2 linked regions of the Callithrix jacchus genome follow. The protein of the gene in region 1 interacts with the protein of each later gene in a pairwise test. Links are inferred from orthologs where the notes say so. Each region holds a gene or a part of one and is shown on either strand. Other genes may lie near its edges. The genes, in order: ESR2 and NCOA6.

What was found.
Region 2: the proteins of ESR2 (region 1) and NCOA6 interact in a two-hybrid assay, tested with the Homo sapiens proteins (3 studies listed by BioGRID). The link is inferred for Callithrix jacchus from reciprocal best matches to the Homo sapiens genes ESR2 and NCOA6.

The regions. Positions count from the first base shown.
Region 1 is NC_133509.1:98,955,868-98,960,238, reverse strand, and holds the start of ESR2 (estrogen receptor beta), read left to right. Parts: upstream 1-1,381; 5' UTR 1,382-1,627; intron 1,628-2,071; 5' UTR 2,072-2,276; intron 2,277-4,371.
Region 2 is NC_133506.1:4,479,728-4,484,299, forward strand, and holds the start of NCOA6 (nuclear receptor coactivator 6), read left to right. Parts: upstream 1-1,688; 5' UTR 1,689-1,883; intron 1,884-4,572. UniProt on the Homo sapiens protein: Nuclear receptor coactivator that directly binds nuclear receptors and stimulates the transcriptional activities in a hormone-dependent fashion. Coactivates expression in an agonist- and AF2-dependent manner.

The sequences.
Region 1 (4,371 bases):
AAGCTTGCCTCACAGGTGGCAGGAGTTTGTCTGCAGTGTTCTGCATAGAGCAGAGTCAAGCCACCTTCACTTCTGATTGCAGGCATGAGGTAAATGGGCCCTTGGTCTCTCTCCTGGATTCAAGTCCTTCTTAGCCACTGATAGGTCATGTGACCATAGGTAGGTTGTTTAACCTTCCTGATCATTCATTTTCTCAAGTATAAAATGGGGATTATAGAATTTGCCTCACAGGCTTGCATATAAAATAAGAATTTTTGAGAGTGGGGCATAAAATGTCCAATAAGTGGTAGCTCTCTATGAAGCCACTGTTGTTACTGGGTTCCTTTCTCACTATGTGGCTTCAGGTAGCTGATAGAAGCTCTGTGAGCCTCAATTTCCTCATTTGAAAAGTGGAGTCAATATTATCTCACTGAGCTGGTATGAGGATTAAATGAGATGCTGTGCAGGTGCTTAGCACATAGTTAGGTATGATGTTGATACTGATAGATGTGTTTTCTTCACCCTCACCCATCTTTGCCTGTTGGCTCATGGTTGAAATTCCTTCACGATGGTTTCCATTTCCAGAGATATCTTGTTAACAAGTATACACCACCAAACGAAGTTGATTTTTTAACCCATCATTTAACATTTTCTCCATAAGGTGGCAAGGAGAAGGGAGTATATGGGGACTGGGTACCTTGAGAGACCCCAAGACGGGACAGAGAGGCTGAGATTGGCATGTTGTCTGCTGCAGTTGCTTGCCAGTGACACACTCTTCCTGTCCAAACTAACTTCTCTGCCTCAAGGAAAGACTGCCTTTCAACCGGAGAGAAACCAGAACTCACAGCTTTAATGAAAATTGGACTTGGAGTGGGGCAGTGGAGACTTTTCACAGCCACTGTTTAGCTGAAGAAGCAGGTGCTTCTCCATCTTTGGAGCCTGTCTTCACTACCTGTGGACCTCATCCTTATCAACCCAGAACCCTCTCTCTATTTTGGCTAAACACCGAACAACTGAGGCTGGCCCTGTAAAATGTTCCCTCCAAATGCCCCCTTGGTTTTCCTCTATTAAAGATCTGGATCACAACCCTCAAAAACCACGTCCCTTATGCCACCTGAGTAGATGGTTTGATGATTAATTAGGCACAGATGTGACACGAGTCTCACAATGGCCCGTGGGTCACATGATACTTTCCTTTTCCTTTTCATCATCGTCAGCTGCCCTAAAGCCAGTTGAGCCTGTGGTCCTAGTCTCACAACCTGGGGGTCCTGGGGTGTGTGAGGGGAACACCCCATTAAGCTCGGGGAACTGGGGCTGCCACCAGGGGGCGCGAGGGTCCCTCATCTGAGGAGGGAGTGGGCAGGCGCCTCCAGGGGAGAAGGGCACCGCAGCCGGAAGCACAGGTCTTCGCGGTGCCACTTCCACCAAGTGAGTTCGAGGAAGTACCTGGGATCTTTGATATAACGCCAAAGGCCTTTCCAGAGAGCTCTTGAAGAGCTGAGAACCCAAGCCTTCCACCTCTAGTTCACGGCTTTGCCACTCTAGGACCCGAGGTTACGTTTGCTGCTGGGGATCTGACAAACCCAAAGCCTCTCTGGTTTCACCACTGGATCCTTAGAATCGGACTTCTGTACTGAATGGCACCCATGTAAGTCAGGGGAGTCAGGAGCTGGGGACGTGATCATCGAAGTATGGTCCCCAGACTGGCTGTATCAATGTCAGCATCTCCCAGGACCTGGTTGGAAATGCATGTTCTCGGGCTACTCCAAAACCCTTAATATGAGACTGGGGCTGCGGGGAGCGCCATCTGTGCGCCACTGTCCTTGTGGGTGGACCAGGAGGCGGCTCAAGGGTGCTCCCACTTCGGGGTCACGCGCGGCGCCGGGTGCTCCTGAGACCGCCGGGCTCCTCTGTGGTCACGTGGGCTTAGGCACTACTCCCCTCTACCGTCCTCTCGGTCTTTAAAAGAAAAAAGGGGCTTATCGTTAAGTCGCTGGTGATCTTTTCAGTTTCTCCAGCCGCTGGCTTTTCGGATACTCACTCCCCCGCCCGGAGGCAGCTGCGGGAAATAACTGCCTCTTGAAACTTGCAGGGCAGAGAGCAGGCGGCGAGCGCTGGGCTGGGAAGGGACCACCCGAGCTGCGACGGGCCCCAGGGCTGGCGCTCGGAGCCGGGGCTGCACGAGGAGCGCTCGCTTTCAACAGGTGGCCGCGGGGCGCGTGCCGGGAGGCCCCTACTGCGGGAAAAGCACGTGTCCGCATTTTAGAGACTGCAAGGCCGGTGTGTTTATCCGCAAGGTAAGCGCCCTTTCGCTCAAGGTGTGATTTCTCATTTTGTTTGAAATCCTGCGATGAGAAACCAGTCATGTTGAGAACAATAAAAGACCAAAAAAAAAAAAATCACCAAAACCAACTGTATTGCAAGCTGCCGGAAAGATGGAAAATACTTTTGATCATGCTTTGATCAAATGTCTCTATTCAAGATACCGGCAAGTTAACTTATTTAGTTTGTGCTTGTGAGCTCTGGATTGATTTTGCTAATATGAATGTCTGGGAAAAAAATTGCTTTTTCTCTGGTTTTCCTCGGTGGATTTCCCCAGTGTAGATGAAATGACTGTTGAACACACTTTCTGATTGAAGTTTGAGGACCTGGGAAGATGTACATGTCTCAAACAGATGATAGGGGTTTTTTAATGTATTGGCATTCCTCAGCCATGTCAGCAAGCTGAGTTCCTCCTTTCCTGGGCTAAGCGCTATCTGGTATCCTTTATTTGCTGAAGAGGGGTCCAACTACTGCCCTCTAACCCCCTCCGTGTTATTCTTATTGGAAGGGTAATATTAAGTCAAGTAAATGTCATTTTTGTGAAAAATAAAACTTCGAATGGACTTCTATTGAGGAAGATAAGGTCGATTTAATTTTACTTGCTGTTTAAAAAGCAGAATTGTGTTTTGGTGTGGTAGGCAACACTTGGGAGGAAAGAGTTTGCCTTATTTTGTTATATTTCTAGTATTTACATGGGCATTCCATTAGAAAGTTTTCCTTTTGCTGTAAGTTTCATAACTCAGTGTCTAGTTTCCTCTGTGTGAGGGGAAAGATGTTTAAAAAGTGAACATGTGAAAGGAAAGGTTTTTCTGAGAGTGTTGTGAAAAGCAAATGTACTATGACTATGAAAACATGCTTCACATTTTCAACTATTTTTTTCTGAAGAAAATCAATATATTTTGGCATAAGTTCTAGAAGAAGGAAACTGTAAGGATCTGTTCATCAATAGGCATTAGAGCATACACCTTAGGATTGCATTTTACGTTCAAGTCTTTTTTTTTAGATGAATTTCTTGAACATTCTCATTTCAAAAGCTATCAGATGCTTGTAGCACTTAAGTTTTGCTCAAGACAGAAGTCTCTGAAATCAATTAACATGTTTAGGACACATTTCATAGTGTTCTGAGGGATGTGAATAAATCTAATCACCATTTACACTTCTCAAAATGTATTTATAATTCAGAAAAGGTGAATTTAGTAGTAAATTCAACTTATAACCATTTAATTAACATTTAATAGATATTGATATGGTCACTCTTAAAAATAAGACATTGACATTTTCTATAAATGATTCAACATGTAATGATTCAAAATACATCTTGTGATAATTTTAGGTGATGTTTTGAATCATTTTGTAGAACATGAATATGAATAAAATATAAAATACTGAAGGCTGAACTTGAAGTGTTTACTAGTAAATTTTTGATAATACATCTAGAACCCTTGAGAATTGTATGCTTGAACATTAGATTTCATAATTCAGGTGTCCAGCATTTTGTTTTACATGTAATAGTACTTTTAAATAATTAGGCTACTGCAGTGTAACTTGCATACAGTAAAATTTAGCCTCTGTAAGTGTACCTCTGTGAATTCTGACAGATGCAGTTATATAACCAGCACCACAGACAAGACACGAAACAGCTCCATCGCCCCAAAAGTCCCCCATGTACCTCTTTGTAGTCAACCCTCTCCACCTACCCCACTGCCCCTGAAAATCACTGATCTGTTTGCTGATTATGTAATTTTGCTCTTTTTTTTTTCCAAAATGTTATACCACAAGTTTTGCTCTTTAGTATGTTTTTACTTATGCATATTTTCCTTTCTTCACTTTTCTTGAAAGAAAAACCTGTTCTTCTGTTTTTATAGGCTGAGTCTGTGGTATTTTTGTTTGAATTCTAGTACCTTGGGATAAATTAAGGCAAAGACAATGCTATTTGCAAATGGGAAACTAGAGACTTGAGCTAAGTGTTAAATTCATATTGGTCTAACAGATTTAGTTCTTAGCAGATTTAGATTCTATTGCGGTTTAAGCCTTTGGTTATGGTATATTATCATTGGTTATCCTGAATTG
Region 2 (4,572 bases), on another chromosome or scaffold:
ATATTTATGGAATGAAAGGGTTCCTGACTCCCTTTCCTTAATGGGACCAGTAGGACTGACCTGTTTAATTAGTTTACAATCCTCCTGTTCATCCTCCATCTCCTGTGATGCTCAGAACAGCCCCCTAACTCCTATTTTGCAGATGAAGAAGCTGAAGTTCAGAGAGGGAAGGGTAGCTATCAAGAGCAAAAGCCAAAATAGAGCTACCATACAATTCAGCAATCCTACTCTTAGGTATACACCAGAAAAAAAGGAAATCAGTATACGGAAGCGATATCTGCACTCTCATGTTTACTGCAGCCCTGTTCGCAATAGCCAAGATTTGGAAGCAACCTAAGTGTCCATCAACAGATGAATAGGTAAATAAAATGTACATGTGCACAATAGAATACTATTCCGCCATTAAAAAAGAATGAGATCATGCCATTTACAACAATATGGATGTAACTGGAGGTCCTTGTTACATGAAAGAAGCCAGACACAGAGAGACAAACTTCCCATGTGATCACTTATTTATGGGAGCAAAAAATTCAAACAATTGAACTCATGGAGATACAGAGTAGAAGGAGGGTTACCAGAGGCTGGGAAGGTTAGTGGGAGGTGGCTGGGAAATGGGAATGATTAATGGTTACAAAAAATAAGATGAATAAGACATAGTATTTGCCGGCACAAGAAGGTGATGATAGTAAAAAAACAATTTACCTGCACATTTTAAAATAACTAGCATATAACTGGGTTGTAACACCAAAGATAAATGCTGAGGTGCGGCCAGGCACGGTGGCTCATGCCTGTAATCCTAGCACTCTGGGAGGCCGAGGTGGGTGGATAACCTGAGGTCGAGAGTTCAAGACCAGCCTGACCAACATGGTGAAACACCATCTTTTTTAAAAAAAATGCTGAGGTGCTAGATACCCCATTTACCCCATTTACCATGATGTGATTATTATGCATTGCATGCCTGTATCAAAATCTTATATACCCCATAAATATATACACCTACTGCGTACTCACAAAAATTAAAAAAATACATCAGTGTAGTGTGGGAAAAAGAACAAAAAAATTTAAAAAAAGAGTGAAAGCCAGATATGAATGCAGGCCTGAATGACAGACATCAAGTCCAGTGCTGAGGAGGCCTTTCTACATTTGGGAAGAGGGGAGGGGCCACACTCACTTGTTCGATCAAGAATTCTATTAACTGAGCATTTCGCTTGCTAGGGAGGTAATGATGGGAAAAAGAAGAGAGGGATTTGGAGGCAACTAATAATGAAAGCTTCTATCTATATCCCCATTAAGCTTATTATTAGACAGTATGTGTCAGGCACTGCGATAAGTGCTTTCCATGCCCCCCGCCATTTCTTCTTCAACAAGCACTATGAATTTCTCCATATTTCAATAGGTAAACTGAGGCTTGGAGTTGCCACGTCCAAGGGTACTTAGCCAGAGCGCTCGCAAAACGTTGTGCCGTGTGTGCTTCCGAAGTGGGACTCACTGGCGGGAGAACAGCCCTGGGAAGTCGACAGAGACCCACGATACACCCGCACTAAGCACTCAGCACCGAAGCGAGCTGGCGCGCGCTCCACCTCGCGCTCCCGGGAACGTCTGGTCACATGGGCGATGCCCCGCCCCTCGAGTCCGCCCCGCCCCTTCTCGCGCTCCCTCCCTCTCTCCCTCCCTCCCCCTCCCTCCCCGGCCCGGTCCGGCCCATCCCCCTCCCCGCCGGCTCCGTGAGGCCCTGCCGGGTCGGGCTGCGGGCGGCCGGGCGCGGGTGGCCGGACAGACGGGCGCACGCGAGGACTGACGGACGAACGCACGGAGGGCGGCGGGCACGCACGGCCCGGGCCGGCGCTCCAAGGCCCGCCCGGGAGGGCCGGGGCCGCGCTCAGGTGAGGCAACGGCGGCGCGGGCCCGTAAGGGGTGGGCCCGCCGGGCGTCCGCGGTCCGGGTCGGGTTGGCTTTGCTGGGAGGAGGCGCCGCCCGGGCCCGGCGCGGGAAAATGGCGCCCGGCGACCGTGCTGCACGGTCCGAGTGTGGGCCCGGCCCGGAGCCGCCCCGCCCGCCGCGCTGGTGTCCCAGTCGCCATGTTGGGGAGCGGGCCCTAGGCCTGCGGGCGGGGGCGCTGGAGGGAGCGGTGGCCCGGCGGGGTGGGGAGGGTGCTGGGCGCGGGGGCCGGTGCACTGAGGGAGTGCAGGGCTGGCTGGGGTCTGCACGGGGTGGCGCTTCAGGCCTGGGGAACTGGCGGGAGCTGGTCGTGGGGTCGTGGGGTCGTAGTCAGGGTCGCCGAGAAGGAACACCGGGACCGAAAGGAACCGGGATTGGGGTCCAAGGGCTGAAAGGATGGCAGGACGTGGAACTGGGTTAGGCCTTAGGCGGTGTATAGAGAGCCCTAGTGCTGGTAGGATCTGGGGATTGGGGTGGAGGCTTGGGGTCAGGCTCAGGCTGTCAGGGCTGGAACAGTTCTTTGCGGGAAAGGACGGAGGCGATTGATGAGAAATGAGGGCCCTTTGGATCCAGACGCTGGTATCAGATTGGGCAGTCCTTGGGGTAGTGGAACTGAATTGCAAAGCTGTGTAACTCACAAGGCTCTGAAGACTTCTGTCCCAAGGATCCTCCACCCCCTATTGGGGGAAGCAACAGGAAAAAGGTGTTTGATGAGGAGAGAACAGGGGGACTGAGGTTTGGGTGCAAGCTGGCCAGCAAAAGAGGTACAGAGAGTAGAACTGGTTGGCAAGAAAGGAGAAAACCTACATCAACTTTGGGAGTTGTGTGTGTCTTTAAAAGGAGGAACCCGCCTGTTTGGGGGCGGTGACCCAAGGTGTCTTCCCTGGAATGGGACAGCCCACAGCTTAAGAGCAGGGTCACCTGGAGAGGTCATCAGAAAGGCGTTATTGAAGCCAGTAAAATGGTGAAGAGTGAATGTATAAAAACTACAAAGACCTGAGAGATCAAGTAAAGATTTCAACTCAGGTAGTGATTTTAGCTGAAACATAGAAAGGTAAAGTTGACTTCTCAAGATCTTATAAGTTAGTGGCAGAGGGGCTACTGGAAGTGGTTTAAACACATTTCCTTAAAGGAATTTGCTGGTTGGGAGAAAGGTGTTAAGAAATGAAGCGTAACATTCTTGTGATGAAACTAGAAGCAAACAAACAAAAACAACAAGAAATGAAGCGTAACAGTATATACCAGAGAACAATTAAATTTGTTTTGTTCCTGTAATGAGTTTGGCAATGCAAAGGCCGAAGGGAATACAGTTACTTGGTATTTCCTGGCTCGTCTCTAATTGTGCAAAGAAGTTATCTTTGATACTTTCTAACTTTCTAGAGTTTTTAGAGATGCTCCGGCCAGCCACAGTGGCGCATGCCTGTAATCCCAGCCCTTTGGGAGGCCAAGGTGGGAGGATTCCTTGAGCCCAGGAGTTGGCAGACCCCATCTCTACAAAAAAGGCCAAAAAATTAGCCATCTGATGTGGCTTGTATCTGTAGTCCCAGCTACTCAGGAGGCTGAGGTGGGAGGATCGCTTGAGCCTGGGAGGTCAAGGCTGCAATGAGCCATGCTGTGATCATGCCATGACATTCCAGCCTGGGCGACAGAGCAAGATACTGTCTTAAAAAAAGAGATGCCTTCTCTTCTAGGTGTTTATCATAAAGGAACACAAAATCCTAAAAAAGAAAAGTGAACAATGGTAGAGACCCAGAGTCTATATTGTGTTCATCGAAGTTGGATCCTGTGAGAGAAGAATTCAAAGTTTGCATGGACTATGGGTCTGAAGGAAATATGCAAATCAGTCATGAAAAATAGGTCCAGGGCCCCATATAATCAAAGAGAATTAATGAACAAAAGGGTTATATATAAAATAAGATCGTCAATATCATATGTATATACAGTAACACAATTCATTTGTTCTGGGTTTGTTTTTTTTTTTCTTTTTGGTAGAGATGGGGTTTTACCGTGTTACCCAGGCTGGTCTTGAACTCCTGAGCTCAAGTGATCTGCCCATCTCGGCCTCCCAAAGTGCTGGGATTAACAGGCGTGAGCCACCATGGTGTGAGCCTTTTCTGGGTTTTTCTAATGCTGGAAGACCTGACTTTATCTGTGCCATGGACCCCTTTCAGAATAATATTTTTAATTGTATAAAATAAAATACATTGGATTATAAGGAACACCAATTATATTGAAATACAATTACTACACTATAAAAATCTAATATGCATATACTTGTTTATCAGCACATTAAGAAATCATATTTAGTGATGGATCCGATAATTATAATTTCAAAGATATGATGCGCTTAAAGGGTACTTTAAGATTATATGCAACAACTGTAGTATAATATAAAGATATTTGAGGGCAGGGCACGGTTGCTCACATCTATAATCCCAGCACTTTGGGAGGCTGAGGTGGGTGGATCATAAGGCCAAGAGATCAAGACCATCCTGGCCAACATGGTGAAACCCCGTCTCTACTAAAAATACAAAAATTAGCTGGGTGTGGAGGTGTGTGCCTGTAGTCCCAGCTACTCGGGAGGCTGAGGCAGGAGAATTGCTTGAACCTGGGAAGTGGAGGTTGCAGTGAGCT